Arabidopsis thaliana: one gene and its partners. The protein of the gene in region 1 interacts with the protein of each later gene in a biochemical or structural test. Each region holds a gene or a part of one and is shown in the gene's direction. Other genes may lie near its edges. The genes, in order: GBF1, GPRI1, HY5 and HYH.

Region 1 (8,983 bases):
AAAGATAGACTTGCGGCAGAGCTAGGGCTTGACCCTCGTCAAGTTGCCGTTTGGTTTCAGAACCGTCGCGCACGGTGGAAGAACAAAAGGCTCGAGGAAGAGTACAATAAACTCAAGAACTCACATGATAACGTCGTTGTCGACAAGTGCCGACTTGAATCTGAGGTATTTCTTATTTTTAATGTTTCAATTACTTCTTCTTTTTTTCCATTTCATGCTCTACTTTTTTTTTTTTTTTTTTTTCTTGCTCTATTCTTTTTTTCATTATGAATATAATAAATATGGGTAGAGATAATGATTACTTAAGGGATATATTAAAAAACTTTTTCCAATCCAAATTTTAAATCTACATAGATAATTAAGGAAAATGCTATACGTTTAACTTATGCATGAATCGGCTATTTTTTCAAGCTTTTTCATAATAGTAATTAGAATTTTCGTCCGACCTTTTTTTTTTTTTTTCACCTTGTTCCTACACTCAATTGCATAGTAAAAGGTAAACAAATTCTTTAGATAATTATTGTTTGGCATAAATGAACGTGAGCTCAAGGCTCGAAGAAATTAGAAAATTCAATAAATGAGACAGAAAGTGAAGTTGATAACAAAAAAAATATTGATATCGAACAGTATAATGCCACCTTATTACACAACATATACACCTTTATATGTTCCGTACAATGTTCTTATTTTCTTAATAGTGGCTTGTCATTGTCAATGGGCTCAGTTCAACAGTAGGCCCACTGACTAAAAACACCATTTAAGTGTAATCAGATGCTTGCATCGGTGATTTAAGCTACGTAATGATTAATTTTACAATAATTTTCCTGAACAGGTTATTCAGCTCAAAGAACAACTCTATGATGCAGAGAGGGAAATCCAAAGATTAGCAGAAAGAGTAGAAGGAGGCTCAAGCAACAGTCCAATTTCGTCTTCCGTTTCCGTCGAAGCTAATGAAACGCCATTTTTTGGAGACTATAAAGTCGGAGATGATGGCGATGACTATGATCACTTGTTTTATCCGGTGCCGGAAAATAGTTACATCGATGAAGCGGAATGGATGAGTCTATACATATAAATTACTAGCTTAATGTAATATTATATCAAGTTAGTATCGTGAATTAGGGAAGCATATTTCTAAGTAAATTTACTAGATTATATAACTGTTGCATTTCTAATGTACAAATATATTGACGATGAGTTTCTCGCTAATGTAATTTGGCTATCTTTATGAAAGCAACAATATAAAATTGCTTAAGTAGTTAAAAAAAATTAGCTACTTTGTTGAATTAAATTTCTAAGAAAAATATATATGAATTCGTTAGGATTTAATTATAATAAGTAAACTGTAATTTGGTTTCACTAACGAAAAAAAAAGTGCGGCCATAAAAGCAGTATCGGCTGCAAGATTCGAAAAACCTTTACTTTTAAAATTGTAGAAGACAAAGGACTAGATGACATGCACATGAAGATAAGATGAGCAAATTTGTTAAAACTTTTTATCTCCATGGATAAGAGTTTGCCCGATTTATACAAAAGAGAAGTTCGGATAAAATATAACTAATTCTGGTAAAACATTTTGAGTCAACTTTTATAGATCGGTTGACAACTAATGTGTAAGCTTATATTATGGTTTATACATAATATATTCATCACGTAATCATTATTACTTATTAGTGATCTGATCGCATAATATAAAATGAGAGTATTAGTCATCAAAAGTTACCACGTATCATGCGTTTCTCAAAATGTTAGAAAAAACACATCGTTTTCTAATCAACGGAAAAATCAAAGTGTCTTTGGACAAGATCAGATGTTCTTTTGATTAAAACCTCTTCCAGTAATTGTAAACTGTACAAGTGCATTTTCTGAAAATCAAAGTTTTCTTGGACATGACTAGAGATTCTTTGATTAGAGTCTTCTGGATTTTGATTGACGTTAAGATATTTTTGATTTAGACATATACTAAATCCTAATTAATTAAAATTATAGATCGAAAACATTATGGTCTCGTAAAGTTTAGAAACTATGGACCCACGAAGAAGTGTTTGGCGAATAAGCGAAGGATTTAATTTAGTTTTGGGTATATAGAAAACGAAGTGTAAAGAAAACGTAACGTTATGGCTCTTTCTAAATTGGGTTTGTTTTAAGTACTCGTAACCACTTTCAACACATTCACTGTATATAGTGTGTTGTATTATATTGTTTGAGTCGTCATATGATGAGATTGTATATATATAAAGAAAAGTCTTGGACCTTTTGATATGGTGATCCATCACATCAACTACGTAATGGTAATACTAATGCTCTACGATAGATGCTATATTTACCTAAGAAAACCGATTTTTTAAGAATGCACTGAATTTTGCTATCAATCAGTTAACTATTGATAAGTCATATTTAGATTTTTATTTTGTTTCATTTGTAAACAGAAAATCACAAGACGTTGGAGACATCTTGGCTTGCTCCTGGCACCTATAAAAAAATGTATGTTTGCAATAATATTAGGGACTTATTAAAGTAGGCCCAATGGGCTTAAGATTCCACCAAATTAGCTTGACAAACACTAAGGGCCTGTCTCGGATATTAGTTGTTTTTAATTAGCAATTGAATAAACTGATGCACGTTGACTCTCTTTTTTTCGTCGTCATGTTTGATTTTTTTTTTTTTTTGTCGTCATGTTTGATTAGTTCTTAAATCTTAACGATAAGTTAAATTATCGATTTAATATCAACAACTGTAGCAAATTTTAATATTCTACGTTAAAAAACTTACTACTATTTTTTTTTTTTTTTTCAGTAAAATGACACAAACATGCAAACCTAGAAAATAGCTTTGACTTGGTTAGTTTCTTGTTAAAGAAAAAGATTACAAACAATTAACATAATATATTATGCACTACAACGGGAAACAAAATTAAGAAAAAAGACTCTTTATCTACAAAAAAAAATCATATAAATGTAAAAAGGGTTTTATCATTGACAATTTGACAGTTATCAATTTACATCAAAATATATTTTAAATGTTTTTAATATTCATGTACTTAATTAGATCGCTAATAATGATAATAAATTGAATATCCTTTTTGATTGTAATAAATGAGTAGATGAGTCACACCAACTGTAGCTACCGTGTCAAAACCTTATCCAGTAACACGTGTACAGCTGGACCTCTCATTGTCGCACGTGTCAGATCATCAAACCCTAAAATTAAAATCCCAAAGAAAAAAAAAACTTTCCTCTTTCTTCGCATTCTTCTCCTCCTATCGGACTTTGCCACACCAGATCGGAAAATCCCAATCCTCTTTTCCTTTGTTTTTTTTGCTATCTTCAATCAAAAACTCTCCGACAGATTCAATGAAGCAGCAAAAGAGATAAAACCCTAACAAAAGTAAACAATCGGAGTTTTAATCTTCTTCTTCTTCGGAGCCGGAGTTTTGTCTGATCTGTCGGAGAGGACGTGTCGGCATCTATTAAAATCCTAGCTGGACTTCCACATCACTTTACTCAATTAGAAGCTGGTCTGTTTTCTCTGTTTTTATTCTAACTTTTTCTCTCGTTTAATTTCTCATATGCAAACAAACACCTTTGCATGTAACTGATTCTGTTGTACTTGAATTGAATTCTTTAATCAATTATGCAAACAGAGCTTGTTTTGGAGATGATGATTCACAAGTATGAGATTGTCTTTCTGCTTAAGAATTCGTTGAGTGTTGGTTTCTGAAGTTTGAATTGTGTGTGTGTGTGTGATTTAAAATACTGATGCATGGTTCGAAGCTTAGAGATTTTAGATTGCTATAAATGAAAGCAAAAGAACAGTGCCCTTACTCTTGTTCTGTTTTAAAGTCATTGATTGTTATAATTGAAAGCAAAAGATTTTAGTTTTGATGTTTTATGATTACTATTTATCGTTAAGATTTTTGATTTTTGTTTATAGTTTTGAGTAACACAAGTAAGTAGTAAGCTTATAAAACAATGGGAACGAGCGAAGACAAGATGCCATTTAAGACTACCAAACCAACATCTTCGGCTCAGGTTAATCCTTCTCTTCTCCTTTCTTTTCAACATCTTTGTTCTGTTTTATATTTTAAGGTGTTTGATGTATCTACCTCTCTCTTTTTCAGGAAGTTCCTCCCACACCGTATCCAGATTGGCAAAATTCAATGCAGGTTCGTGTTACATGTACAACTTTGGTCACTATTAGTTTTTATAGTGTAAGTGAATACTTTCTCGAAAACACCGGGACTGCTGAACATAATAGTATATGCTTATTTCTTTAGGCTTATTATGGCGGAGGAGGTACTCCAAATCCTTTTTTCCCATCCCCAGTTGGATCTCCTAGTCCTCACCCCTATATGTGGGGTGCTCAAGTAAGTTTTGTATCGTATAGTTGTTGATATGATTCTATGAAAAAGAAGTTTGCATCTTATTCTTTGGATAACACTAAATGAGTTTCTCTGTTTTGCATTACTTTCAGCACCATATGATGCCGCCTTATGGCACCCCAGTTCCGTACCCAGCAATGTATCCCCCGGGGGCAGTCTATGCTCATCCTAGCATGCCCATGGTAATCTCCATACCATTAATACAACATTAGCTATCGTTGAAAGCTTTTTGCTCTGTTACATGGCAATGCATAGATAAATGAGAAAGTAAAAAACTTGCTCGACATTTCTTTTGTTGTAGCCTCCTAATTCTGGTCCTACCAACAAGGAGCCTGCGAAGGACCAAGCTTCTGGCAAGAAGTCAAAGGGGAACTCGAAAAAAAAGGCTGAAGGAGGTGATAAAGCGCTCTCTGGTTCAGGGAACGATGGTGCCTCTCATAGGTGATTTTTATAACACTCTACTCAACGTGGTGCTTGTTCAGTTTGATTGCAGTGTCATATGTAATTATGATTTTTCCGTTGTGCAGTGATGAAAGTGTCACAGCGGGTTCATCTGATGAAAATGATGAGAATGCCAATCAACAGGTACTGTTATGTGTTTGAAGTGTTCTCTGTTGCTACAATACTTTGTGATGTGCTTCATTGAGATTCATGTTAATGTAGGAACAGGGTTCAATTCGAAAGCCAAGCTTTGGACAGATGCTTGCTGACGGTATGCTTTTGACCGCTGCAGTTTTCATGGTTTTTCTTTGCATGTATTTTCCATGTTTCTTGACTTGGTAAAGTTTCCTTGAACAGCAAGTTCTCAAAGTACGACTGGTGAAATCCAAGGTTCGGTGCCCATGAAGCCGGTAGCCCCGGGGACTAATCTGAATATCGGGATGGACTTATGGTCTTCCCAAGCTGGTGTACCAGTGAAGGTGTGACCAACTCCTCATTTCACCCTGCAAGGTTGCTTTTCCGAATTCGTTACATTCTTCCTTACAAAATCCTCTGATTACTCAACAGGATGAACGAGAGCTCAAGCGGCAGAAGAGGAAACAATCTAACCGTGAATCCGCTAGGCGGTCTAGATTGCGGAAGCAGGTAATATGCATTTGTGTGTTAGTATCATTTTACTCTGTCTGCTTCTTGTAATTTACTCATTCCATAATAAACCATTTCGAATAGGCCGAATGCGAACAACTTCAACAAAGAGTAGAGAGTTTGTCGAACGAGAATCAAAGCCTGAGAGATGAGCTACAGAGACTCTCAAGCGAATGTGATAAGCTCAAGTCTGAGAACAACTCAATCCAGGTGACAAACTCTTTATCCGGAAAAATTTCTGCGAAAATCATACTCTTTCCAACTTTTATCTTATTTCTATCGGCTTGCATTTACACTAGAGTCATGGAATAATGCAGGATGAGTTGCAGAGAGTACTTGGAGCAGAGGCTGTAGCTAATCTAGAACAGAATGCTGCTGGGTCGAAAGATGGTGAAGGAACAAATTAACACTTAGGAAAATTGGAACTTTACAACGGATTATTGGGATTTTTCAACACCGGATAAAAAAAACTGAGTCCAAAGTCATTTGAGATTACGTAACTATACAATCGTTTGACATTTTTGTGTAATAGAGATTTGACCTACAAGACTGTAGAAGCTGCAAAAGCTACGATTACACTTTGTTTTATTAGTCTTCGTGATTGGAATCGGATTCTGAATCCGAGTTTGTTTCTGAAACGGGGCTACCATTTGCTATTTCTCCTAGTCGTGGTGCATCCTCGTTGACTGTTGGAACAACACAGCAAGTACAAATAAAATAGTCAGTTCAATACCCTGATAGCAAAGTATTACACTAAAGATAGAAAATTAGAGTTCCGAAACAAACCTGATCCCAAGATTTTGGCAATCATTGCTCGGACAAACCGTATTTCTCCTTGGTGTGACCTAACGACCTTCACCTGCAGTTTTTTGTTTTGTTTTAAAGCGTTAGTTAAAAGTGACTGAAGAATAAGGGAGTTCAAAAGAAAGCAATCGTGTACCATTTCCCCATATACACCATCCACAAGTTGGTCCACTCTAGCTTGGTGTCGTAAGAGGAAAGGACGGATCTGGTTGTTGTATATCTGTTTTGATCCCTGTTGTCGGCAAATAAGAATATAGAGAATATCAGAACTGATGAGTACCACGGGTTAAAGCTGCCTACTCGTTAGATGATGGTTTAAAGAGATTCCGATAGGTACCTCAACAGTTGGGAGTTGAAGCCAGACGAGGAACGCAAACTTCACATGATAGTACAGCGGGAACCTGCAAATAATCGAGGTTATTGAGTATCAATACTTTGCGAGTTTATCGAGATAATCAAGCCATTTCTCTCGATAAAGTCCATTAGAAGAAATATCTTATTTGTCTAACATAACAGCAAAACCATCAAGATATTGTATATAGTTTCAAGATGTCAATCATACCAGGAAATGATCTTGTCCGTGAACACTTCAACAAGGCTGAAAGAACCATAAGCTGCAAAGAAGGTGAAGATAGAGAAAAAACCCCATCAAATTCCATGTGAAAGAAGGCCAAGGGAGATTGAAAAAAAACTATTGAAGATAAACAGTCAAAGAATAAGGAAAGCAATTAGAAAGGTCATAACAATTGCAGTAACAATATCCCACCTGCCCAGTAAATAAGCATCTTTTGTTGTTCATTCTCATCTCCACTCTCAATTGCCTTGAAGGTAGAGTACACAGGCAAACCGATGCCAATGGAGCAGCTGCAGGAAACAAGTTTCAGACATACCACACAAACGTGTCCTTTATAACCGAATCCTTTAGTCAACTACAGCTATAACACCTTCTAATAGAGAAAATAACCAAAAACTCGGATAAAACAAAAAGAATCCAGATTCCCCAACAATAGATTGACCCTTGTCCAAAAGATACCCTAAAGTATCACAACAAGTAGAATAGAACCCTTGTCCACTCGGCTAAGTTAATAACTATGTCAACAAAAAAAAAAAAAAAAAAAAAAACTCCCTCCCTACCCCATTGCTTCACATGTAATGAGAATCACTCAATCAGATCACAATCTCACCAATCAAATCATTCCTCCAATTCATTCGTCTACCTGTACCATTGATTCTAGCAACTATATGGCTTTCTTCACCTTACAATAAAAAAAACTCACCATGCTGTACGAAGTACGATATTGGAACTAAGTGGAGAGAACAATACACGCAACCCAACCTGAAAATTCCATTGAGAAAAACAATTGTTTCTCTCAATCCAAAAGTTGAGAATATCCACATGATCAGGAATTGAAACACCTCTTTCTCTAATCGGCTTTTGTCAAAGAGTAATCCAAACAAAAAAACAATCCAGTACAGAAGAAATCTGAATTCCAACAAGGCAGAAGATGAAGGAATCCTAAATATACATATTTAATCATAAACTTTATCACGAATCCCCAAATCACGGATCGGAACAAAAGCCGTACAATCGGAAACATCAATCAAACTAAAGGAAGATTACCTCGCCGGTGAGTCCAGATCCAAGAAGCGCCATGGATGGAATCTGTGAAGCAAACCCGCTCATCGGCGATTCGTACGACGGTTTTACCAAATTGACGACGAACTCGCACACTCGCAAAAAAAAGGTCACTTGTGTTTTGAATAGAGGAGATTATGAATCATTAAAAGACTCTAGCTCATACAGAGACTCTTCGTAAGAAATATTTTTATTTCTTTATTTGAAAGATAAACAGCAAAAAGAAAAGAGATATTAAAGGCGGTAAATACAATTATTCTATTCTATATCATATTGTTAAACCAAACCCGGTTTATCTAAAACCGCCAAGCTGATGTGGCAACAAGTGCTCTTCCATGCCAGCACAGCACCAATTCTCCTTGTCGTTTCGCCACGTGGAATCCTCTAACTTGCGCTTTCTCCAATAAACACTCAGCTTGAAAGTCGGCGAACTGGCTTAGCTGTATCGGCCTCATCCCGGCGGCGCAAAACGCTTCCCGCCAAGTCATTTCGCCGGTGTGTCTCCTGTCAGCCGCCGTTTCTACCGCAGCGGAGATCTTCGGTCGTAGAACGAACGCTTCCACTATCTTCTTCACCAAATCTCCGGGAGGAGCTGCAGCGTCGAGCGACTCCAGCACCATCGTGTAGAACTCAAGAGCGCTAACAAACTCTCGCCGGAATGATCCAGATCCGGCGATCTCCGTCCATCCTTCACTATCCACGAATACAACGACCTTAGGTGATACTCTCCGTAAATTGTTAACAAAATCAGTGATTCCACTTAGACGACGAAATATCGCCGGGGAAATCAAAACGACGGTCCTCTCCCCCTCAACAAACCTAATCGCTTTGAAAGATAACATCTCAAAAGTCTTCATCAGCACAAACTCAATCTGGAAACGAATTTTCATCTCCGCCGCGAATTGAGTTAGGTTTTCTTTCACTAGTCGCGTCTCTACGGCGCACTCCTCCGCCACCACTGCCGTAACTCTTAAAAATCCACCGCTTACAGATTTCTCAGTGATTTCTCTCATAAGCGATGCGTATTGGCCACCGAATCCAATCTCAAAATCCACCACGTGAACAAACGGAGAAGA
Region 2 (8,534 bases), on another chromosome or scaffold:
ACGACGTTGGAACCGTTTCACTTTGAGGCCATAGTTATTCACGAGATCTAAAATGTTTATTTTGGGCAGATCATAGTCTATCTCTCTAGTCTCTTCATCATCAAACATTTGGTCTTTTACTATTTCTGGCCCAAAATTTTAGAAGCTTCATTATTCTTGGGTTATTTTAAGTTATGAGGCTTACTATTTCTGACCCAAGTTTTTTTCTTTACAAGTGCCCCATTGAGTCGATGAAAACGGCAAGCACTTGATTGTTGGAGTATCATCAATTATCCCACGAGAAACTCGGACATTATTTATTACCGTTAAGAAAATCAAATGAAGAGATGTTTTTCAGTAATAGAAAGGAACAGCAAATGAATTCAAACTGTAGCTTTCAGTTCATGGTCCCAACTAGTAGTTGAAAACAAAGACAAAAGTTTGCTCACCACAAGCTCATCCACAACAAAATAGATTTTTCATTTTAACCAAAATAATAACGAAAATAAACTCCACCAGTTGAATCAAAATATTGGTTTAATTGTTTGTGATAACAGTGACAATTTTTTTCATGAAATTTTACAAAGCAAGAATTATTGAAGTTTACTCACGCGGTTGCGTTTGTGGTCTCTTGCCAGTTGCCACCGCAACAAAGCATTGGTCTTCTTCGTTTTTTTCTTTACGTTTTTGTAATTGTGTTTGTGCTTTAACTTTATGTTATAACATAAACATGCAAACGTAAACACACACACACACACAAAAACGGTTATGGTGAAGCTCCAACACCAGCTCCAAAGTTAATGACTGCGTAATGGAATGTTTTGTTAGAACTAATTGGAAATCGATTGCTTTTCGTGTCTTTGTAATTGAAATCTATTACCATTATTTTTGTAACAAATAAAAGTTTTGGCCTTTTAATTTGGGGATACTGAATTTTATAGCCTATTTTCACAAGAATTTGATTTGTTGTTTCTATTGGCGATTTTCGAAATTAGTAGACCGTTTTCCCTAGCTATTTCCAAGTTAACAGGAGAATCGTTCCAAGTACATATATACATATGATATGCTATTTACAGCGAAAAAGATGATGAGTGTTGGAATCATAATTAATGACCAGTAGTCCTTTTACGAAAGTTGCACTTCATTTTTAATTACAAACACACATGATATCATTTCCATTCTAGTCGCTATCAAGTCACATGTGGGTGTGGTGGCCCTTCACGTCCACTGATTGTCAAACCTCTAATATCAGTTTCAAAATTAATGTACATATATAGCTTTTCATCTCCATCTCTATATAGAGATTCAATACTCAATTCAATATAACATTTGTATATTACTCGAGCTCATAGATTTATTTTATTGACCTATATATTAAACTTATTGGCTAGCTAGCTTTTTCTGTTATTTTTGAAATTTAAACTTAGCTAGTTTTTAATATTCCAATAGTAGAAGAAAACTATGAAAACTCACTGTAACTCCATGCTGGGAGAAGGGATCCAACATCTCACCAACCAGAGTGTCGGGCCGTAGACTGAACTAGCTGACTGTGAGATCTTAGATCATTCCAAAATCAACAACTCCAATAATTATTTATTTTCGGTTTCTAAATGAAACAATCTTTATCCTTTTCTTTATCTTAAACCAAATCAGTTATATAGAAGATTAAGTCATTATTAAAAAGTATCATCAGATCATCTCATAAATGGTAGCAACAAAACCACTCAAATATTCAACTATAAATTACTCCATCATTTATAGAAAGGAGCCTACGCATATATCTAGCAAATATTTGGAACTCTAGTACTTGACTTTGAGAAAACCCTCATTCAATATATATAGAGTTGTGTTAGCCTATAAGGGCCTGAAAGTATGTGGAATTTCTTACAATTTTCTTCCTTCACGATGTATATATATATATGCCGTACGAATATTGTGAACGTGAATTCGATTCAAAAAATGTGATGTGGAAACGAGCAACAACAATTATTGTAGCTCTTGAGGACCCATAGGACGTGCATGTCCACTTATACCTAATGAGACAATTCTGTCCTTTTTTATAAGAGCATCTTCCACAGCTTAATTTGCGAGCCTCATTCACGTCAATATATAAGGGGTATGTGATACGGTAGATGGATTGATTATTTACATCCATCTACATGTAAGTTGACCAGCATAGACCTTTTACATAGTGACATAGAACCGTTGAAATGCCATCCGATTGATCAATAATGTTGGGACAGACCAAAACCAAGATACCAAAACGGTAAAGGGACAAATGCGACAATCAGATATTGAACTTTAAAGTTGTGGCTCTGATCCAGTTTGGCAACAACTTCACTTAAATTTTTGTGTTACCAACAAAACAGGGAAAAAGATTCGCTAAAAGAGTTGCCTAAATATATGTTTGAGCTTGTTGTCGATATTTTATGTTTATCTAAACAGTAAAAAAAAAAAAATTTATGTTTTATTTACCACATTTAGAACTAGGCATATATATATATATATATCTTATTATATAAAGTATGGTTTTTAAAGTTGCTAACTCATAAGATTGTGTCACGTGTCAAGTCAAACGATCAGATGTTTACATGTATCATTCAAAATTTAACTTTTTTATTCTCTAAAATTAAATAGAAAATCTTAAAAAGTAAACAAATTTACATATACTAATTTATATGTCTATATATTTATAAACAATTAACATTTATTCAACAAAAGGAAAATTAACAAATTTGTCTTTAACTCATGTAATCATAAGTGAAAATAGAACATTTTGAGAAAAATAGCTTATCTTATAGGATTTAACTTTTCAATTATTTTCATTTATTAATTTTAACTCATTTAATATTAATTTGCATGATGTAAAATTAACTTACGAGATTACGGCATATATAGAAAATATATTTTCAACAATGTTTGGTTTCTAAATATTTTGTGGATTTCTTTTTTTTATTAATTATTAGCCCTAGGCGTTTGGGTATTCGGGTCGGGTATTTTGGGTTCGGGTTTTCGGGTTTAGAAGTTTAGGACCCGTTCGGGTAATTTAAGATTTCGGGTCGGGTTCGGTTTGGGTGGGTTTGAGTTTATTTATATATTGAAATATCAAATTTTGTGTGCAAATCTATTAAATTACTTGAAAATTTCAAAAATTCCCAAAACAACACGAGTAGTTTTGCTTGAATATATCTAAAAATACACAAAATAATTAAAATATCCAAAAAATCCTAATATTTTCTATATATAAGTATAAATATAACTAATATATATTTATATTTGAAATATGTTTGGATACGTATTCGGGTTCAGGTTCGAGTTTTTTGGGTTTTGAAGTTTAGATCTGTTCGAGTATTTGAAAATTTCGGGTACACCCGCCTCAATAGGCGGGCCTTATCTAGTATATATATATATATATATTTTTGTGATGGATTTCTTTCTGTCTCTCTCTATATATAGCATATAAATGAAAATGAATTATATTTGCCTTTAAGGGAGAAGAAAGAGACTTACTTTGGATATCAAAACATGTCTTGCTCTCTATTCTAATTAAGTCTAGCCTATCTACAACATACATAAACCTCTATCTACGATTATATTTGGATCTACAAGTGAAGATTGATCGATGTTAGCTCTGTCTCCGGCGACAAGAGATGGTTGCGACGGAGCGTCAGAGTTTCTTGATACGTCGTGTGGATTCACGATTATAAACCCGGAGGAGGAGGAGGAGTTTCCGGATTTCGCTGACCACGGTGATCTTCTTGACATCATTGACTTCGACGATATATTCGGTGTGGCCGGAGATGTGCTTCCTGACTTGGAGATCGACCCTGAGATCTTATCCGGGGATTTCTCCAATCACATGAACGCTTCTTCAACGATTACTACGACGTCGGATAAGACTGATAGTCAAGGGGAGACTACTAAGGGTAGTTCGGGGAAAGGTGAAGAAGTCGTAAGCAAAAGAGACGATGTTGCGGCGGAGACGGTGACTTATGACGGTGACAGTGACCGGAAAAGGAAGTATTCCTCTTCAGCTTCTTCCAAGAACAATCGGATCAGTAACAACGAAGGGAAGAGAAAGGTGAAGGTAATGATTTTAATCATATCATCTATATATAAAACATTAGTCTTATATGAATAAAAACCCTAGCTAGACTCGATTAAATGAACAGGTCTATAATGGATTCGTATTTTTTTTAAAAGTGGATTATTCGTTTAGAATTCATTTTCTTGCTAAATCTTCTAAATTTTTCATATTTCAGTCATGTTTACAAGACTCGTGTAAAGACATCACGTGCATCTCTATAAGACTTTTTTTCTTTCAAATTATGTAAAATAGTCAGCTGCTAATTGTGAATTTTATATAGTATGTGAAAAAGTATTGAAAAAATAATGAAGATGGTGGTTATATATATGTTGGGATGTGTGTGAAGGTGGATTGGACACCAGAGCTACACAGGAGATTCGTGGAGGCAGTGGAACAGTTAGGAGTGGACAAAGCTGTTCCTTCTCGAATTCTGGAGCTTATGGGAGTCCATTGTCTCACTCGTCACAACGTTGCTAGTCACCTCCAAGTTAGTATATTTCTTTTCAATTTCATTCTCTAATATTAACCATCCAAATTAACATGTTGCTGTTATTTGGTATACTAGAAATATAGGTCTCATCGGAAACATTTGCTAGCTCGTGAGGCCGAAGCGGCTAATTGGACACGCAAAAGGCATATCTATGGAGTAGACACCGGTGCTAATCTTAATGGTCGGACTAAAAATGGATGGCTTGCACCGGCACCCACTCTCGGGTTTCCACCACCACCACCCGTGGCTGTTGCACCGCCACCTGTCCACCACCATCATTTTAGGCCCCTGCATGTGTGGGGACATCCCACGGTTGATCAGTCCATTATGCCGCATGTGTGGCCCAAACACTTACCTCCGCCTTCTACCGCCATGCCTAATCCGCCGTTTTGGGTCTCCGATTCTCCCTATTGGCATCCAGTAAGTTCCCACATTTATGAAACCTTTACTTTAGCTCTTTATCATATTTGTTTTCATCATAGTATTTAACATTATGAAAGCTGAATGACACCGAGTATTTTTATCATATGCTTGTCTTTCTAACCAGCATTTTTGCATGTAGATGCATAACGGGACGACTCCGTATTTACCGACCGTAGCTACGGTAATGAACCAACATTTATAAGATTGTTTCCGTATGTATACCCCTTTTTGTTTCTATATATATGTTTTAAATCGTATTTTTGATTGGTAATTGTATAGAGATTTAGAGCACCGCCAGTTGCCGGAATCCCGCATGCTCTGCCGCCGCATCACACGATGTACAAACCAAATCTTGGATTTGGTGGTGCTCGTCCTCCGGTAGACTTACATCCGGTAAGAATCTAATATAATGAATTGATTGTTGTCGAGTTTTGACTTTTCGCATTTGATTATGTAATTATGTATTTTTGACTTTTTGTGTATATATATTATAAATGGAACAGTCAAAAGAGAGCGTGGATGCAGCCATAGGAGATGTATTGACGAGGCCATGGCTGCCACTTCCGTTGGGATTAAATCCGCCGGCTGTTGACGGTGTTATGACAGAGCTTCACCGTCACGGTGTCTCTGAGGTTCCTCCGACCGCGTCTTGTGCCTGAAACGCACAAGATCCGTAGGCAAGCGAGAACCAAACAAAAATTCGACGACATGTCTTTCAATTATTGTACTTTTATTTTTCCAAGGGTTGTTTTTGTTTTGACCCTTGTTGTGTTAAGAGTTACTCTTTACTTAATCGTCCCATGTGACTAATAAGGAGACCCTTTTCATATGTATCTAGGGTGCTAAGTACACTCTAGCTCTATTAACGCAAATAAATTACCTATATTTTCTCTAACCATTGGTGATTTAGAACTTGATTGCTTATATAAAGTTTTTTTATAAAACATAACACAACAAATTTCCATATCAAATGATCATATGGAAATTGGAAGCGTTCAAAGCAAAGTCGCAAACGACGACCAATTGATTATAAAGAGGACAACCTCACGAGTATATATACACTTATAATTTATAAACATAACTTATACTTAAAAATACCAGCCGGTTATATATGGTGAAAAATGAGTAATGAAATTGTGTGTTTACCATGCATATATTACCGTATAAAAACGTATTGTTGGGATTGAGAGAACAATGGCATAAAATAATAATGAGGAGAGAGGGAGAGGACCACGAGATAAGAGGAGAAGGAAGTGCATGGAGGCAACGTAAAATCCAACGTAACGACCTCTTCTTTCTCCAATTGTGACCACTCTCTCTCTCTCTCTCTCGTCTCCTTCAAATTTGAATGGTCCCTCTCTCTTCATAATTGATAATTCATATACATGCGGATACTATTACTAGCATCTCATTTTCCACTCACACTTGTACACATATGCTTTTTATAAGTACGTATTTATAGGCAAAAGTAAATATATTCAAACCCTACATGCATGGTATTAAAATCCAATATAACCAAAATGAATACTCGGTTCAAATTCAAAAATTTAAAGGACTTTGGTCGAAGATAATGAAGACAAATCATTTTTTTTTGTTCTAACCGGACATTCCAAATCGAAATGCACACTAGTTTTTGGTGCCTACATCTACATTGGCTAACTTTTACTAAAATCATAGTGAAAATAACAAAAAACCATGGTCTCTATAAACTCTTTGGTGAAGATTTCAACTACTAAATTACCATGAGATAGATGGTCAAAAATTGTCAATATTGAATTTACAAGGATCATGAGATATTTCAACAATTTTACTAATGACCAGATCCAATGCAGTGAATTAGACGAAACTATGACTTCACTAGGTTGTGAAAGAAAAGCTTGTCTTGCAGTTTTGTCTGCGACCGGTCGAAAAGAGAATGAAAATATGTCGAAATCCTCTTCAAACGTGAAATAAATTAACTGTCATAAGGATAAATTATGTTTGTTCAACCATACAGAAATATGATGAATAAATAATTTTAGACATGTGGGCCCATGTAAGAAGAACTCACTAAATGAGCCCAATACGGTTAATGGGCTGTGACATTGAAAAAGAGGTTGTAATGGGCTGATTGATTCTATAGTGTAGAAATCTTGATCGAGGGGTTATCTTCTCCGATTCCAATATTTAGATTCTTCTTCATATATTATTGTGCTTTGATTAGAGAGTTGCAGAAGAGTTTTTTTTGTTTTAATTCCTGCAATCAGAGAGTTTTCGATAGCACAAGCACAAGCTTCTCGATTCGTTTGAGTGTTCAAATTTCAAGCTTTTTACAAGGGGTTCCTTAGATTGATCTGTTACTGTAGAGATGGCTCCAACTCAGGATCCCAACAGTGTCGGAGGCGGTGCGAAGAAAGATGAAGCTACCTTGAAGGTTCCGTCTAAGGATCCCAAGAAGAAGGACGAGAAAAAGGATGAGGATTTGGTAAAGTTTCTTCTTTCTCGGTTTTTTGATTTATCGAATCCTTTTTCGACATTGTGTGTCGTGTTTAGTATCTGGGTTCATCAGAAACGAATTAATTTCAAATCTGTAAGATCTGCAGTTAGGTTTTTAATTGGAGTCTCGATCGAGTTGAAGTAGGGGTGTTATAGAATTAGGGTTTTTAATCTGGCAAAGTGAGTGTTTTGTTCGTCATTAGACTAGCCGGATTAGAAAGTTGTTAACTTGTGATGTGAGGAAAGTTTTTTTTGTTTGTATATGGTCACTTTCTTAATGACTCGACTTACATTGGGTTGTGATTGTAGTCTGAAGAGGACTTGGAACTAAAGCAGAACCTTGAGCTCTATGTTGAGAGGGTTCAGGATCCTAATCCGGAATTGCAGAAGGCTGCCCTTGAGAGCATGAGGTAATTCTTGACTTGATCAGCTTCGGGTTTTCAGATTATTGCCACTGAAGCTTGTACAACTTATAAAGCTTTTTTTCTTTCTCTCTGCTCTTGGTGTACATGTTTATGTTTTTAATTAGAGTTTTATTTGGCTTTGTAGGCAGGAAATCCGAGCTTCAACAAGTTCCATGACTTCAGTTCCCAAACCACTAAAGTTTCTGCGTCCCCATTATGGAACTCTTAAAGCGTTTCATGAAACAATGGCTGATTCTGATCTCAAAGTATGTCATCATTGATTTCAAGTCATTAACAATTCTTATATTGGTATGGCTTAAAAATTACATTTGCTATGTTTGCAGAAGTACCTGTCCGATATCCTGTCTGTCCTGGCCCTTACCATGTCTGCAGATGGTGAAAGGGTATGCTTCTACTGACTTGGGCATACTTTGTATTCTGATTTGTATTTTTTAAGGCATACTTTGAACTGCTAATCACTTTCTTTTACAATATAATTCCAGGAAAGCTTAAGGTTTAGATTGATTGGAACAGAGGGTGACATTGGATCGTGGGGTCATGAATATGTCAGGAATTTAGCTGGAGAGATTGCACAAGAGTATACAAAGCGTCAGGTTAGAAATCAATTTTCGATTTTGTCTTTGGAAATTCAGTTTCTCGTCCTAGGACTTGTGCA
Region 3 (7,725 bases), on another chromosome or scaffold:
GCAAGAACCTGTACAAAATGTATCACTTGTGAGACTATTAGTAGAATCTTAAGTGAACTGTGTTAGGAGCTCTTGAGATAGAATAAGCGAACCTCTAGGCGTTGAAGATCGGTCACTGCAGAAGCTTCTTTCACATTGGTGAGATTGTAGATATCTAACACATTTTCCCACTTTGGAAATGTCATGTTGATGGCAAGGCCATTGACTACAGCACCAGGGTATAAGAGAGCCTTAATCATCGGAACAGGAAAGATCTCACTAGAAATCAACTGAGACGATGTCACATGGATTGGCGATGAACACATACCAGATCTACATGGAACTCTGTTTTTAAGATTACGATTCAAGTCAGATCAACCAGAGAGACAAACAAACCAAGTAATGACTAATGATCCATATTATTAAGATTCTAATCAACTGATAAAATTTTGAATCAGCTTAGAGTTTCATACTAAAACCAGCTACACAAAAATGCGGAAACTTGAAAATGAATCAGAAATCAAGTTTTTCATTAATCAACCTTACGCAAGAGAAAGACTAAGCGTCGTCCACATATCGGATTCATAGACGCATCACTAGATAACGAAATATAGGGTTCGAATTACGCAGCTGAGAGTTTGTTTTAGTATGAATTTACCTGAAGAGAGGGATCTGGAATAAGATCAAGACGAAGTAAACCGATGAAGCCATAGACGTCCATTTCTTTATCCATCCCTTTGATTGCCCTGGGTTCGCCATTAACAAGCCCGCAAAGAAATCAAATCTAGAGAGAGAGAGAGAGATGCAGAGTGGACCCGTTGTTACCAGACGATAACGACGAAGAACAAAATAAATACTTTATAAACGACACGCTTTGCTACACTGTAAACACAAAACGGAGTCAGTGTTTAGATCTTTAAGGGATAAACGACGTCGTTTACAAAGATTCATATAAAAATCCGATTATTTTTCTCACTGCTGCTGAAAACAGCAAACAGTTTTGATGATAAAAGCCATGGCTCTATCTTCTGCCGGCGTCGTCTCTCATCTTCATCCTCCGTCGTTTTCTTCGTCGTCAGGATTATCCGTCAACAGAGTTCTGTTTCGGAATCGGAACGCTAGTCCTTGTGGTCTATCTCTTCCAATTCTCAATCCGTCTCGGTCTGTACTTGTTTTTGCTCGTGGCAAGAATCGAAAAGGATTCGTGTCTTCGTCTTCTTCGTCTCCGAAGAAAAACAAAAAGGTAAGAAAATCAGAATGAGAATGATTTATGTTCGCAATTGCTCTTACCTGCTGCTTTCGCCGAATTTGACTAGAATTTGGATACACTAACTAAGTGAGCTATTATCGGTTAGAATTGGTGAATCCTCGAATTAGACTTTGGCTCTTTTTGATTTTGTATCAGCCTTTGATTTCATGGTTTGTGGCAGAAAAGTTTGGATGGAGCTGATAATGGAGGAGGTGAGGAGGAGGAGGATCCATTTGAGGCATTGTTTAATCTTTTAGAAGAAGATTTGAAGAATGATAACTCGGATGATGAGGAGATAAGTGAGGAAGAGTTAGAGGCATTAGCCGATGAGTTAGCTCGAGCATTGGGTGTTGGTGACGATGTTGATGACATCGACTTGTTTGGTTCAGTCACTGGTGATGTTGATGTTGATGTTGATAATGATGATGATGATAATGATGATGATGATAATGATGATGATGATGATGACAGCGAAGAAGATGAAAGACCGACTAAGCTGAAGAATTGGCAGCTTAAAAGACTGGCTTATGCATTGAAAGCTGGGCGTCGTAAAACTAGTGTAAGTTTTAGTTCAGTGTTGAAGTGATGTTGAATACATTGTGTAAAGCATAGTGCTTGAGTTAGTGTCTGCTTTGGAGATTTTGCTTACGAATTGTTTAAGAGTTGACAAAGAACAAGTAGTTCTCTGGTTTTCAAATGCATAATTGATAACGGATGGTTTTGTTGTGATCTGTAGATTAAAAATCTGGCAGCTGAGGTTTGTCTTGACAGGGCTTATGTTCTTGAATTGCTTCGTGACCCGCCTCCAAAGCTGCTAATGCTAAGTGCTACACTACCAGATGAAAAACCGCCAGTAGCAGCACCTGAGAACTCCTCACCTGATCCAAGTCCTGTGGAATCATTATCAGCTGAAGATGTTGTGGTCGAACCTAAGGAAAAAGTAAAAGATGAAGCAGTTCATGTGATGCAACAGAGATGGTCTGCTCAGAAAAGAGTGAAGAAAGCTCACATTGAAACGCTAGAGAAAGTTTACAGAAGATCAAAACGACCCACTGTAAGGATTCTCCTTTTACATTTGAATCAATTTCTATGTTACTTGAATGCTCTATCTCACATATGATCATGTTTGATGATGCTGTGAATAGAATGCTGTGGTTAGCAGCATTGTTCAAGTGACCAATCTTCCAAGGAAGCGAGTTTTGAAGTGGTTCGAAGATAAAAGAGCAGAAGACGGAGTTCCAGATAAGCGAGCTCCATATCAAGCTCCGGTTTGATCTAATGTTAACGTTGAGATGGCAATGATTTGTATACTTGATTCTCAGAAACTCATCAACATTGTCGTCAAGGACAAGTTTTTTTGGTGATACGAGGAGTGTTTATAGTAGTAGATTCTGTCCAATGGTGTGGCTGGATATGTTGGACTATGAAATTTTAGGATATCTTGTATTCAGTTTTTAGTTATTTCCTTGCTGAGATTGTGTCTTGTAGAAAACCGTTTCAACTTTGTTTGGTTTATGGCGGCTATAAAGTTTAATTTTAATGCATGACAAAAACAAATCACCAAAAATAAAATAAATTACTTTCACGACACTTTTGAAAGCACTGCCCTAGGCGTGGGCCATGTGACAGAATGAAAGAACTCAGACCAAACTTTTCTGTCCAAGGACAGGAATGGGGCCCACCCAATTAGCTCCCCTATCCATTATTCACCGTAAGATGCTAACCAGATCTAACGGCTAAAATCCACCCACGTTCCAATCTCAATTGCCTTTGGATCCTTGTATTTCCTCAAGGCTCACCTTTCTCCACGATTCACTCTCGATATCCGTTCGATTCTTCAGAGATCTGACGGCGGTAGCCAGAGTAATCTATTCCTTCCCAAAATGTCTCGCAATTAGATTCTTTCCAAGTTCTTCTGTAAATCCCAAGTCCCGCTCTTTTCCTCTTTATCCTTTTCACCAGCTTCGCTACTAAGACAACAAATCTTTCCCTCTCTCTCTCGCCTGATCGATCTTCAAAGAGTAAGAAAAATGCAGGAACAAGCGACTAGCTCTTTAGCTGCAAGCTCTTTACCATCAAGCAGCGAGAGGTCATCAAGCTCTGCTCCACATTTGGAGATCAAAGAAGGTAAACAAAAATTGTCGATTGTTTTATTTTCATATCTTCTCCCAACGAGTGATCTCATTGATTTTCATTCTCATGCATTGGATATCTAGTAAATTCACATCTAGATTTTGTATCACCATTGATTCACATCTAGATTCACAACTTTTAGTCTCCCCCAGAAGATCTGCAATTTTTTATTGTATTTAAAAAGTTTGAAACTTTTCGTCTAAAGTCTCTTTTATGTTTTAAAGGAATTGAAAGCGATGAGGAGATACGGCGAGTGCCGGAGTTTGGAGGAGAAGCTGTCGGAAAAGAAACTTCCGGTAGAGAATCTGGATCGGCGACCGGTCAGGAGCGGACACAGGCGACTGTCGGAGAAAGTCAAAGGAAGCGAGGGAGGACACCGGCGGAGAAAGAGAACAAGCGGCTGAAGAGGTGTCTTTTTCTCTATTCATTGAATTTACATTTTTACCCTTTATATGGAAGGTGATTATGTTAAATAACGGTTGCGTGATGGGGTTGTTTGGTAATTTTGTGGTGAAAAGGTTGTTGAGGAACAGAGTTTCAGCTCAGCAAGCAAGAGAGAGGAAAAAGGCTTACTTGAGCGAGTTGGAAAACAGAGTGAAAGACTTGGAGAACAAAAACTCTGAACTTGAAGAGCGACTCTCTACTCTTCAGAACGAGAACCAGATGCTTAGACATGTACGTTTTGTCGATCTTACTGTTGACTTAACCTGCAACGTCAATGCTTTTGCCATTTGTTTTTTGATATATCACAGTACTGGTTTATCACATTTACGAGTCTAGGATTGACCAATAATTAGTTTAGTTAGTTAAAAGGATCTAAGAAGCTAACTTAAGCTTTAGATTAATTCTCAGAAGGCATGTAGGTTCTTGAAATGGTCATTCACTCGCATATTCTCTCAAAAGGCATGTAAATTCTTCAATGGTTCTTGAAATGCTCACTCATTTTGTTCTATATGAATGGAGAAGATGAGATTGCAAAGTTGGATCTCTATGTGTGTGTGTGGTAATAAAGTCTTTTGAGTTGTTATGTTTTTTATGTGGTGTAGATTCTGAAGAACACAACAGGAAACAAGAGAGGAGGTGGTGGTGGTTCTAATGCTGATGCAAGCCTTTGATCTCCTTCTTCTTCTTGTGTTATATTTTTGTGGATAAAATTTACAGAGAATTGTATCAATAATTATCATGTTAAAATTATATGGGATGTGAGAGCTAATATTGCAATTGTAGACCAAGTTCTCTTATTGTAGTCTTAGATTTCTCTTAATTGAAACATAATGTTGTTTTATAACAAAAATAAGCTAATTTTTGTTCTATGATATGACATTGTGACACTGTAGTAGAAAGGTTGCGTTTTCGATTCCCGCAGTTCAAAGTCCCAAACAAATTCTGGGATAGTGGAATCTTTACTCTTTTTTTTTTCCTTTTTGCCCCTATCCCTCCCGATTTCTTACAGACAAGTCGCCATGGATTTGTAAACGAAGATGCCGTTGATCATATTATGCGGAAATCGGACAAAGAGGGTAGGGTCGATCTTTTACAGCCAAAGCTTGTCAAGCTCGAGAGATGAGCAATCATGTAAGTGTTTTCTTACACTTTTGCTTTCCTTTTTCTAAAATCCATGGAATCCAGACATTGTTTTCTGTCACTGCTACCTTGAACTTGCTGCTCCCTTCTTAGAATCGGGTTGCCACAACCGAATTTCATGGACAAAATCGTACATTTCTTTACCTGTTGTATGCTTTCTGATTCTTTGTTTTCTATTTTAGATTTTTCGTGGATCTCATCTTCATCTATTGCTAGTTGCTAGTGTACTATGGATTGTTTGACATTATTTCTCATGCTTTTGAGGATACTCAGATTCTATCAATGTTAACAAAGAAAAATTTATTCTCCTTCTTTTACCACTTCCATCTTCTTTGTCTTACATTTGGACATTCCATGTCTTTACCAGCTTCCGCAGGGAAGATGTCCGTAGAGACTTTCTCAGTCACGTTCAGATGGAGTTTCAAAGAAAATGAATCTCTCCATTCAATGATAATGAGATTAAAAGAAGAGAGTCATCAGTATATCCAGGCGAATAGAGAATCTAATATCTCGCTTTCTAGCATCTTGCGAACAGGAAGTGAGGCAAAGGCTTGACGTTTTACCTGAGAAATCTCTCATATCATCAATATCGCTGATCAATTTGCAAAAAATCCGACAAAGAGAAAGCTTGAGGAGTGAACAGCAATGTAAGTATTTTAAGTCATGGAACTCAGATTTTGATCAATGCTTTCTTGAAATTTATCTTGAGTTTTTTAGTTGCTGCTTTCCTCTTAGAATCAAAATCTCACAACCAATGAAAAATCCTTATGATTCTACATTCTACATTATCTTTCCTTTTACTGTTTCTTACATTCTGTGTCTTGTTTATGCTTGTGAGGTTAAATTTTCCTTTTGCTGTTTGCTTCTTATGATTTTATATTTAGTTTTTTTTTTTCGTTGGACCTCATTTTGCTATTGAAACATTATTGAACGAAGCTTCTTCTCTTGCTAGTTGCTCATGTAGGACCCGTTCTTGTAATTTTCTGTGAGAAATATCCAGAATTTGGGGTATATATGTAATAGTTTCAACATTCTCAGTCAATGGAGATTGGAGTCAACGTTTTTCACTGTATACAGAGCCTCTTTAAAGCTCTGTGATAGTTGACTGCAAGAAAAGAGATAAGAAAACTGTGATACTGATCCTACTAATTTTATGGCTTCTTCGTTTTTCCTTACCACTGTTGCAGCTGCAATAGGCTTCTTCACCCTTTTGAGAAAACTCAGATTCCATCATGATAACAAAGAAAAGAAGTCAACTTCTTTATCTCCTTCATCATCTCCATCTTCTTTGTCTCCTTCATCAGTTCCTCCACCTTCTTCGTCTTGCATCTGGACACACCAAGTCTTTCCCAGCTTCAGCGGGGAAGATGTCCGTAGAGACTTTCTCAGTCACATTCAGATGGAGTTTCAAAGAATGGGAATCACTCCATTCGTTGATAATGAGATTAAAAGAGGAGAATCCATCGGTCCTGAGCTTCTGCGGGCTATTAGAGGGTCTAAGATAGCAATTATCTTGCTCTCTAGGAACTATGCTTCTTCAAAATGGTGTCTTGACGAACTGGTGGAGATTATGAAATGCAGAGAAGAGTATGGTCAAACTGTGATGGCCATATTTTACAAAGTGGATCCTTCTGATGTAAAAAATCTGACCGGAGATTTCGGGAAAGTCTTTAGAAAAACTTGTGCCGGTAAACCAAAGAAGGACATTGGGAGATGGAGACAAGCTTGGGAAAAAGTGGCCACAGTAGCTGGTTACCATTCAATCAACTGGTTAGTCCTTATGATTTCTACTTGCTCGTAAACTATATACATCTTTAGCTTTGAAACAAAACCCATCAAAGAAATTCGTTTTTGAATGTGTGTGATATTTCCATGGTTATTTACTAAATGTAATTTTCTCTCCCCCACCTAATTGTTAGGGATAATGAAGCGGCCATGATCAAGAAAATCGCCACTGATATTTCGAACATATTGATTAATTCCACTCCTTCACGTGATTTCGACGGGTTAGTTGGGATGAGAGCTCATTTAGAAAAGATGAAACCGTTGTTATGCCTAGACACAGACGAAGTAAGGATAATTGGGATTTGGGGTCCTCCTGGGATTGGGAAGACCACAATTGCCAGAGTTGTATACAACCAACTCTCCCACAGTTTCCAACTGAGTGTCTTTATGGAGAATATCAAAGCAAACTATACCAGACCAACTGGCTCCGATGACTACAGTGCAAAGTTGCAATTACAACAAATGTTTATGTCTCAAATAACCAAGCAAAAGGATATAGAGATTCCTCATTTAGGAGTTGCCCAAGATAGGTTGAAAGACAAGAAAGTTCTGGTCGTTCTTGATGGGGTGAACCAGTCAGTACAACTAGATGCGATGGCGAAAGAAGCTTGGTGGTTTGGTCCTGGGAGTCGAATCATCATTACAACACAAGATCAGAAACTTTTTAGAGCACATGGGATTAACCATATTTACAAGGTGGATTTTCCACCAACTGAAGAGGCTCTTCAAATCTTCTGCATGTATGCTTTTGGTCAAAATTCCCCTAAAGATGGTTTTCAGAACCTTGCTTGGAAAGTAATAAATCTTGCCGGTAACCTCCCTTTGGGGCTAAGAATTATGGGCTCCTATTTTAGGGGAATGTCGAGAGAAGAGTGGAAAAAGTCATTACCAAGATTAGAGAGTAGCCTTGACGCTGATATTCAAAGCATTTTGAAGTTCAGCTATGACGCTTTAGATGACGAAGATAAAAATTTATTTCTTCATATAGCATGTTT
Region 4 (6,786 bases), on another chromosome or scaffold:
AAACACACTCAAAGGTGTCATATAAATAAATATATGCATCAATCAATTCTCCAACTTCTTCAAGGCCTTTGTTGCAATATGCAGCAATAGCTCCGTCCCGCCTCAAGTCTCTTCATCAATGCCTAAATCTTACACGTCTCGTAACTGCGCAATCACAGCCTTGACCGATCCAAGTTTTAATACCTCTCCGGTCTCGTGATCTTTAGTCTTCTCACGGTTTCAAGAAACATACTAAACAAAAACATCGATTTCAAAAATTAGAGAATAGCTATAACCGAGGAAATTATACCAATGTAAGATCAAGATATAAGATTCATACTCCCATGGAATATCTCCGACCATCATCCAATCTCCATCCTTGTCTTCATATGTCAAAACATGATGTTTTCGATCTCGATTACCGCCTGTTATAGCCAAGACAATGCATGGATATACTTCAAACTGTTTGAATTTAGTTGAATGTTGTTTTTACGGAATTATGTGTTGTTCATTAATTACTTACAGATGATTGAAGTATCGAACATGTGAGAGAGATTTTCTAATAGACTCTCGTAGCCTGAGAATACGCAAAGGTCGAGTTTTCTTCCAATGGGAACACCTTCCATATAAACCTTAACAAAGAGAGAAGTGTCATCACCACGACGAAGAAGACGACGACCCTTTAGTGTATCTCTTAATCTAGACTTTATCGGTGGCCAATCTTGTCTTGCTTCTCTACAAAAAAATAAAGATTTAAAACACAAATGTGAACAAAAGAAAACAGAGCAAAAACAGAACATAGGAAAAAACAGAGAAGTGATGTGAATAAGACCTTTGTGGAGAAGTAGAAGGAAATGTGAGACTAAGGGAGAGATTAACAGAAGATTCAGAAGGAGAAGGTTTAGTACTGTCGACAGAGGATGAAGAAAATGAAGAACAAGAGTTAGAGACCTCCATTAATGAGACCTTGAAGCTGCAGAGCTAGCTTCATGCTTCCTTCTCTTCTCTATTGAGAGTGCTCTTCATGTCTCTCTCTCTCTATTTCTATTTCTCTCTGTCTAGTTAAACAAAAAAGGACTAGTAGGTGATTCTATTGCATAGATTTTGAATTTAAAAATTGATTTAATCGACTTTGAAATTTAATATAAATAAATAATAGGAACATAAGGTTCCCCACATTTAACTATGAACTTTCAACCTTCTAAATATGAACACACATTGATTTCTGAAAACCACTGTAATAATTACCCGATTAGATACTTAATTCATGGGTTTAGATCTTTGGAGTTAGTTAGTAGTAAAAATGTGAAATTATGGTTTTGAGATTTGTTTACATGTAAGATTCGAAGTTTCCGTAAAAAGGTGGTATCCAAGGAAAGTGTGTCTAAATGATGTTGGAGTTAATCTGTTAAGGCTTTGATTTTAATTTCTCAACTGCTCAGATTCTTTAATTAGGAGAGATAAGGGCCAAAAAAGGCTTTATTGTCTAGCCGTAAACAGAAACAGAGCATCACATCACTTTCACTTTCTTACACATCAATATTTGAAAGAAAAAAACTGAGTCTATAGACTATGAACTTGGGGGATCAATTTTTTAGACCCTTCTGTTGATAAGAAAACTCAATTGTCTCTTATGACACATTAATGTAACAGACCATTGAAAATTGCAGAACCAATAAAAATAAGGTAGACTTGAAGAGTTTTGTGTATATTGTTTTTGTGGAGCAGACAGTGTTCTTTTCTTTAACTATACGTTTCCTGTTAATGTCTCTTTAGCTTTGTGGATTGTCTCTCTTAGAAGCCCAAATCTTTTACTCTTTTTTGAAAATCAAAATAGAATTCGTTGATTTATGATAACTTCAAAATATAAAGTAGACATAAATTGTTACATCACATAATGCTCATTGGCTGTATTGATAATAATATTAGATTCTAGAATCATCATGGGAAGTGCACTCTAATAGTTACTTTGTAATAAAGCCTACCTTGGATGTTGGATCGATAAGACTCCTATTAGCTATTATACGATCTGTCTTTGGACATGCATGTCTGGTCTCTAGGGATCCTTCTTGTTAGAATTTCGATATATATAACTTTATAATGTCTAGTAGTCTAATGATGAATGTTTACTCCTCTTTATACTTATAATAATAATTAAGACTACTATAAGTCTATAATCAATTAAACTTTTATCAAAAAAATATGTCCAAGGAGTTATTACTCGCATACCTCGACTTAAAAGAGTTTTGTCATTAGTTTTCGTTGAAGTAAGTAAGAACCAAAGATAATAATCAAACTCCTGATTTTCTGAAGTTTCTTAAAATGGTATTCAAATTTTGGCCATAACTCTCAATATATTAAGACCGAGCATGCGAACGAGAAAAAATATGATCACCATGGTTTGCAGCTCGATTACTTCTAAGTTCTAACCATGGTAAATTTAAACGTTTTGTTGAAGTAATATAGAGAGGCATGCAATAGTATTGTGCCAAAAAGTTATAGCAAGAGAGATCAATATCATGATATGTACTCCTAAATTAACGTGGCATGTTCATGCATAGACAAAGATGCAATCATATCTCCACGTTTGCATACAGCTTCAAATAATAAAATCATATAGTCATACAAACAAAATGAATGTCCGCTGCTTATGAAAATTAATTATTTGGATAGTACTTCGTATAAAAGTTACATCAAATGATTTTAGTTGATTTTAAGACAAGGGGTCCCTTGAGTGATACACAAACTCATCATGAGTATTCTGATCCATTTCATGACGAATAAATTAAAACACAATCAGAAGGTTGATCATGGGTTGGGAAAGATGTATTGGTCGGTCGATATGCCACATGTTATATTATGTTTTATACTTATTCCTGAATAGAAAGATATGTATGAGTCGAAATATACAAAAGAAGGATGAAACTTGTTCTTCTTTATAACCTTATAAAATGTTCACATTGTTTATGAGTGATTTCCCGCGTCCATTCCATACGACTTCATGATTAACATCCCTCAATATATTGATTATGACAATGTTCGAAAAAACTGTTAGATGCCAGGCAGACGACGATTCAACCGGCCAAGTTTTGTTTCCGCGCGCGCGCATAAGTCCACTATCTAATATGCAACCATTACGGTAGAAGTTTACTTGGTCCATTTTCATTGATAACAACAAAAAATCGTAAAACTTTAAAATTATGATGAAAAACGTAAAAAAGAACATGGGAAAATATATGGCGGAATCACAAAGCATGAAAAAATGCTTCGGAATGATTGACTGAATTTACAATTGGTAGAATTTAATTTTAAGAGATAACATTTAAAAATTCAAAACATTAGTTAGCTGTCTTTATACAAAAGAGTTATTTGTGTACCAAAAAATAGAAAACGAGATATATGACCACATGATGAGTTTATGCATGCCTATTACGCCATGCAAATAGATACACACACACATAGTTGTGCCTCTGACTTTGTCTGCAAGTACGTTTGTATGGTTCTAGACAGTAATTATTGTCCTAAACCCACACGCTCTGTGAATACTCACTAAAGGTTGTTTTCCGTAGAAATCATGAACAAAGACTTTAAAAGCAAAACAGAACAATAAATCAATTAATAAGTTCAACGGGATATAGTGGAAAAGAAAACACAGATACACACCATTGGATTGAAACAGTTGCATTTGTGGTCTTACATAAACCTACGTGTTCTTTTATAAGCCAACCAATACTTTTCTCTTTTTTTTTGTTTGAAACGAGTTGCAGACTTTGAGTGGCCCCAAAGAAGAAAGAAAAGATGCAATTTCCTTTGGTTTGATATTCTCTTCAACCTCTTACCTCTCTATTCTCGTCTTTAGCAAAATCTCAAAAGACAAAAAGATATTGATGTCTCTCCAACGACCCAATGGGAACTCGAGTTCGTCTTCTTCCCACAAGAAGCACAAAACTGGTAGGTGTTGAAAGAAACTTATCTAATATTTAACTTAATTTGGTTTAGAGAAATTGGTTTGTATAATTCTCAGAGGAAAGTGATGAGGAGTTGTTGATGGTTCCTGACATGGAAGCAGCTGGATCAACATGTGTTCTAAGCAGCAGCGCCGACGATGGAGTCAACAATCCGGAGCTTGACCAGACTCAAAATGGAGTCTCTACAGCTAAACGCCGCCGTGGAAGAAACCCTGTTGATAAAGAATATAGAAGCCTCAAGAGGTAATCAATGATGAGTAAAAAAACTTTTTTTTCTTAGCATTCGATTTGTGGAATTGAAATGGTAAAAAAGAAACTGTGGTGAAAAATTACAGATTATTGAGGAACAGAGTATCAGCGCAACAAGCAAGAGAGAGGAAGAAAGTGTATGTGAGTGATTTGGAATCAAGAGCTAATGAGTTACAGAACAACAATGACCAGCTCGAAGAGAAGATTTCTACTTTGACGAACGAGAACACAATGCTTCGTAAAATGCTTATTAACACAAGGCCTAAAACTGATGACAATCACTAAATATTTACCCTTTAATCCATTGTTCAGTGTTGTATGATTATCTTTCTTTCTTTTTTGGTTTTGGTTTGTATACACTTTTTGTTCGAATAACATTCACTTTGAGCATCATTGTCATTCAGATTTGCAAAATAAAGTAAAAAAAAACGAAAAAAGGCAAGAAGAGATTAGGTATAAAAACTAGAGTTCTAAAATGCCGTGGTGGGTCCCACATGTTCTTATGCGAGTGAAACGAAGAAGTCTCTGGAGAATTTGTTTTCGTAGAGACCAAGCTGCTGCTATATAAATATTGTGAAAGAGATGAGATTTTAATTACTTGTAAGTGATTCAGAGAGATCAGAAGAAAAGAATAATTACGAAGAAATGGAGAATTTTGGTGAAGGGAGAAGAAGTGGAGGCGGAATGTTGCCGTTGCTGGCTCTAAGCGCCGTCGCGGAGTACTATAGACTACCGTGGAAACCACCGGTGACGGCGAGTCTCCTGGCCGCGAACACTCTCGTTTATCTCAGGCCGGCGTTTATCGATCCCGTTATTCCTCACATCAGTGAGGTCTGGTTCAATCCTCACCTCATCTTCAAGGTAAACCAATCTTAATAAATTCCTTCATTCGCCAAGAGAAATTGATTGCAATTTGACCGATTTCGATCTGAAATTCGAATTTGAGTTTCCTGGGAAATTTGTACCAATATCTGGAGAATTAGGGATTTTGTTCTTCGATATCTAATTAGATCATTCTTGATTGATTAATTCTATTCTCTGTTAAAGTTTTTTTTTTTAATCTTGATGTGTATTTGTTGAACAGCATAAGGACTTGAAGCGTTTATTTCTATCAGCGTTCTACCATGTTAACGAGCCTCACTTAGTCTATAACATGATGTCACTTCTCTGGAAAGGTATCAAGCTTGAGACATCAATGGGAAGCAGTGAGTTTGCTTCAATGGTCTTTACTCTTATTGGTATGTCTCAAGGAGTCACATTGTTGTTAGCCAAATCGCTTCTTCTCTTGTTTGACTATGACAGAGCTTACTACAACGAGTATGCGGTTGGGTTCTCGGGTGTTCTCTTTGCTATGAAAGTTGTTCTTAATTCTCAAGCTGAGGATTACTCAAGTGTGTATGGTATCTTGGTTCCAACAAAGTATGCTGCTTGGGCAGAATTGATTCTAGTGCAGATGTTTGTACCTAACGCTTCGTTTCTTGGGCATTTGGGTGGAATCCTTGCTGGTATTATCTATTTGAAGCTGAAAGGTTCTTACTCAGGCTCAGATCCAGTCACTATGGCGGTTAGAGGTGTATCTCGATTGGTGACGTGGCCCTTGAGGTTTCTGAATGGTATGGTTAGGTCTCGGAGAAGGAGGATTACGGGGAGAGGAAGAGTGGGAAGAGGTCAGACTGGGATAGCAGGACCTGGTATTTGGAGATGTCAGTCGTGTACATATGACAATTCTGGTTGGTTAAGTGCTTGCGAGATGTGTGGCTCGGGACGGGCTAGAGGAAATGGATGGTCACTGAATCAGGGACCAGCACTTTCTTCTTCTAATGATCTCCCTTTAGATGAGCTGCGCCGTCGAAGAGTAGAGAGGTTTAGTTGATCTCGGGAGCGCATTCTTAAAGCTGAGGAAGGATTGTGAATGAAGCTTTGTTGAATCATTCATTGCATTAGCTTATGAATAGCAGAGTTAGTGGTCGTGTTTTTCGATCTGTTTCTTCAATTTGTCTTCTCTTTTGTTGTTGAAGATTTGGTTCTACGTGAACTGGTCCTTTGATTAGATTGCTGAAAGTAGCGAGTGATTCAGATAATATAGTATCTTCACACCAAACTTACAGTTTCACAGACTTTCGATTTTAACAAAATTTTATCCTATTTCAAACCAAATTTTGTTGAAAGAAGAAGATCACAAAGCAAGATATAAATGTTAATCAGTAATCAATTTCCCTTTTTTCTTCCTTTTGCCTCCTTGCTTGATTTGCGCTGAGCTTGGAACATACGAGCACACAAGTGGATCTCGAATTTTATCAGTAGTTTTTCCGAGATCCACTTCTTTGTAATATCCATCCTCTCCAATGATGTAAGCTGTGTTGTGAGTGGGATACATTACATCTTTGTCTTTAGCAAAGACTACAACAACTTTCTTCTCTTCGTCAATGATGAAACTCGCATCTGCAATTCCAAACTTAAAATCAGTGAGTGGTTGCATATCCACTGCTAAGAACAACTTGCTCCACATCACCTCTTCAGGTTCAATCTTAGTCGTAACCCAAATCTCCATATGTAAGTTGTCCTTACGCTGAAATAACACAGCAAGTTG

The links.
Region 2: the proteins of GBF1 (region 1) and GPRI1 form a complex in vitro, tested with the Arabidopsis thaliana proteins (one study listed by BioGRID).
Region 3: the proteins of GBF1 (region 1) and HY5 form a complex in vitro, tested with the Arabidopsis thaliana proteins (one study listed by BioGRID).
Region 4: the proteins of GBF1 (region 1) and HYH form a complex in vitro, tested with the Arabidopsis thaliana proteins (one study listed by BioGRID).

What each region holds. Positions count from the first base shown.
Region 1 is NC_003075.7:17,306,741-17,315,723, reverse strand, and holds GBF1 (G-box binding factor 1), read left to right. Parts: upstream 1-3,235; 5' UTR 3,236-3,517; exon of another isoform or gene 3,518-3,933; 5' UTR 3,934-3,971; coding exon 3,972-4,031; intron 4,032-4,120; coding exon 4,121-4,165; intron 4,166-4,276; coding exon 4,277-4,366; intron 4,367-4,473; coding exon 4,474-4,563; intron 4,564-4,682; coding exon 4,683-4,822; intron 4,823-4,908; coding exon 4,909-4,966; intron 4,967-5,044; coding exon 5,045-5,093; intron 5,094-5,179; coding exon 5,180-5,301; intron 5,302-5,389; coding exon 5,390-5,467; intron 5,468-5,551; coding exon 5,552-5,677; intron 5,678-5,784; coding exon 5,785-5,874; 3' UTR 5,875-6,055; downstream 6,056-8,983. Other genes in the region: HB40 (homeobox protein 40), read left to right, coding at 1-165, 833-1,075; HVA22K (HVA22-like protein K), read right to left, coding at 6,056-6,153, 6,254-6,326, 6,408-6,503, 6,609-6,672, 6,834-6,885, 7,038-7,135, 7,549-7,607, 7,893-7,955; HAM4 (GRAS family transcription factor), read right to left, coding at 8,204-8,983. UniProt on the Arabidopsis thaliana protein: Binds to the G-box motif (5'-CCACGTGG-3') of the rbcS-1A gene promoter. G-box and G-box-like motifs are cis-acting elements defined in promoters of certain plant genes which are regulated by such diverse stimuli as light-induction or hormone control.
Region 2 is NC_003071.7:8,851,885-8,860,418, forward strand, and holds GPRI1 (GBF's pro-rich region-interacting factor 1), read left to right. Parts: upstream 1-3,473; 5' UTR 3,474-3,601; coding exon 3,602-4,066; intron 4,067-4,133; coding exon 4,134-4,181; intron 4,182-4,412; coding exon 4,413-4,553; intron 4,554-4,631; coding exon 4,632-4,976; intron 4,977-5,118; coding exon 5,119-5,160; intron 5,161-5,258; coding exon 5,259-5,372; intron 5,373-5,482; coding exon 5,483-5,638; 3' UTR 5,639-5,872; downstream 5,873-8,534. Other genes in the region: RPN1A (26S proteasome regulatory subunit S2 1A), read left to right, coding at 7,327-7,443, 7,764-7,864, 8,004-8,124, 8,203-8,262, 8,362-8,472. UniProt on the Arabidopsis thaliana protein: Transcriptional activator that functions with GLK2 to promote chloroplast development. Acts as an activator of nuclear photosynthetic genes involved in chlorophyll biosynthesis, light harvesting, and electron transport.
Region 3 is NC_003076.8:3,590,334-3,598,058, reverse strand, and holds HY5 (Basic-leucine zipper (bZIP) transcription factor family protein), read left to right. Parts: upstream 1-3,055; 5' UTR 3,056-3,258; coding exon 3,259-3,355; intron 3,356-3,585; coding exon 3,586-3,769; intron 3,770-3,879; coding exon 3,880-4,141; 3' UTR 4,142-4,264; intron 4,265-4,407; coding exon of another isoform or gene 4,408-4,476; 3' UTR 4,477-4,698; downstream 4,699-7,725. Other genes in the region: AT5G11280 (tail fiber), read right to left, coding at 1-8, 93-324, 638-738; OCP3 (overexpressor of cationic peroxidase 3), read left to right, coding at 983-1,222, 1,410-1,787, 1,965-2,282, 2,374-2,502; AT5G11250 (Disease resistance protein (TIR-NBS-LRR class)), read left to right, coding at 6,099-6,715, 6,865-7,725.
Region 4 is NC_003074.8:6,020,105-6,026,890, forward strand, and holds HYH (HY5-homolog), read left to right. Parts: upstream 1-3,739; 5' UTR 3,740-3,866; coding exon 3,867-3,930; exon of another isoform or gene 3,931-4,003; coding exon 4,004-4,190; intron 4,191-4,282; coding exon 4,283-4,481; 3' UTR 4,482-4,606; downstream 4,607-6,786. Other genes in the region: IAA31 (indole-3-acetic acid inducible 31), read right to left, coding at 177-231, 320-404, 503-714, 812-936; RBL14 (RHOMBOID-like protein 14), read left to right, coding at 4,842-5,057, 5,281-6,069; AT3G17620 (F-box and associated interaction domains-containing protein), read right to left, coding at 6,394-6,786. UniProt on the Arabidopsis thaliana protein: Transcription factor that promotes photomorphogenesis in light. Acts downstream of the light receptor network and directly affects transcription of light-induced genes.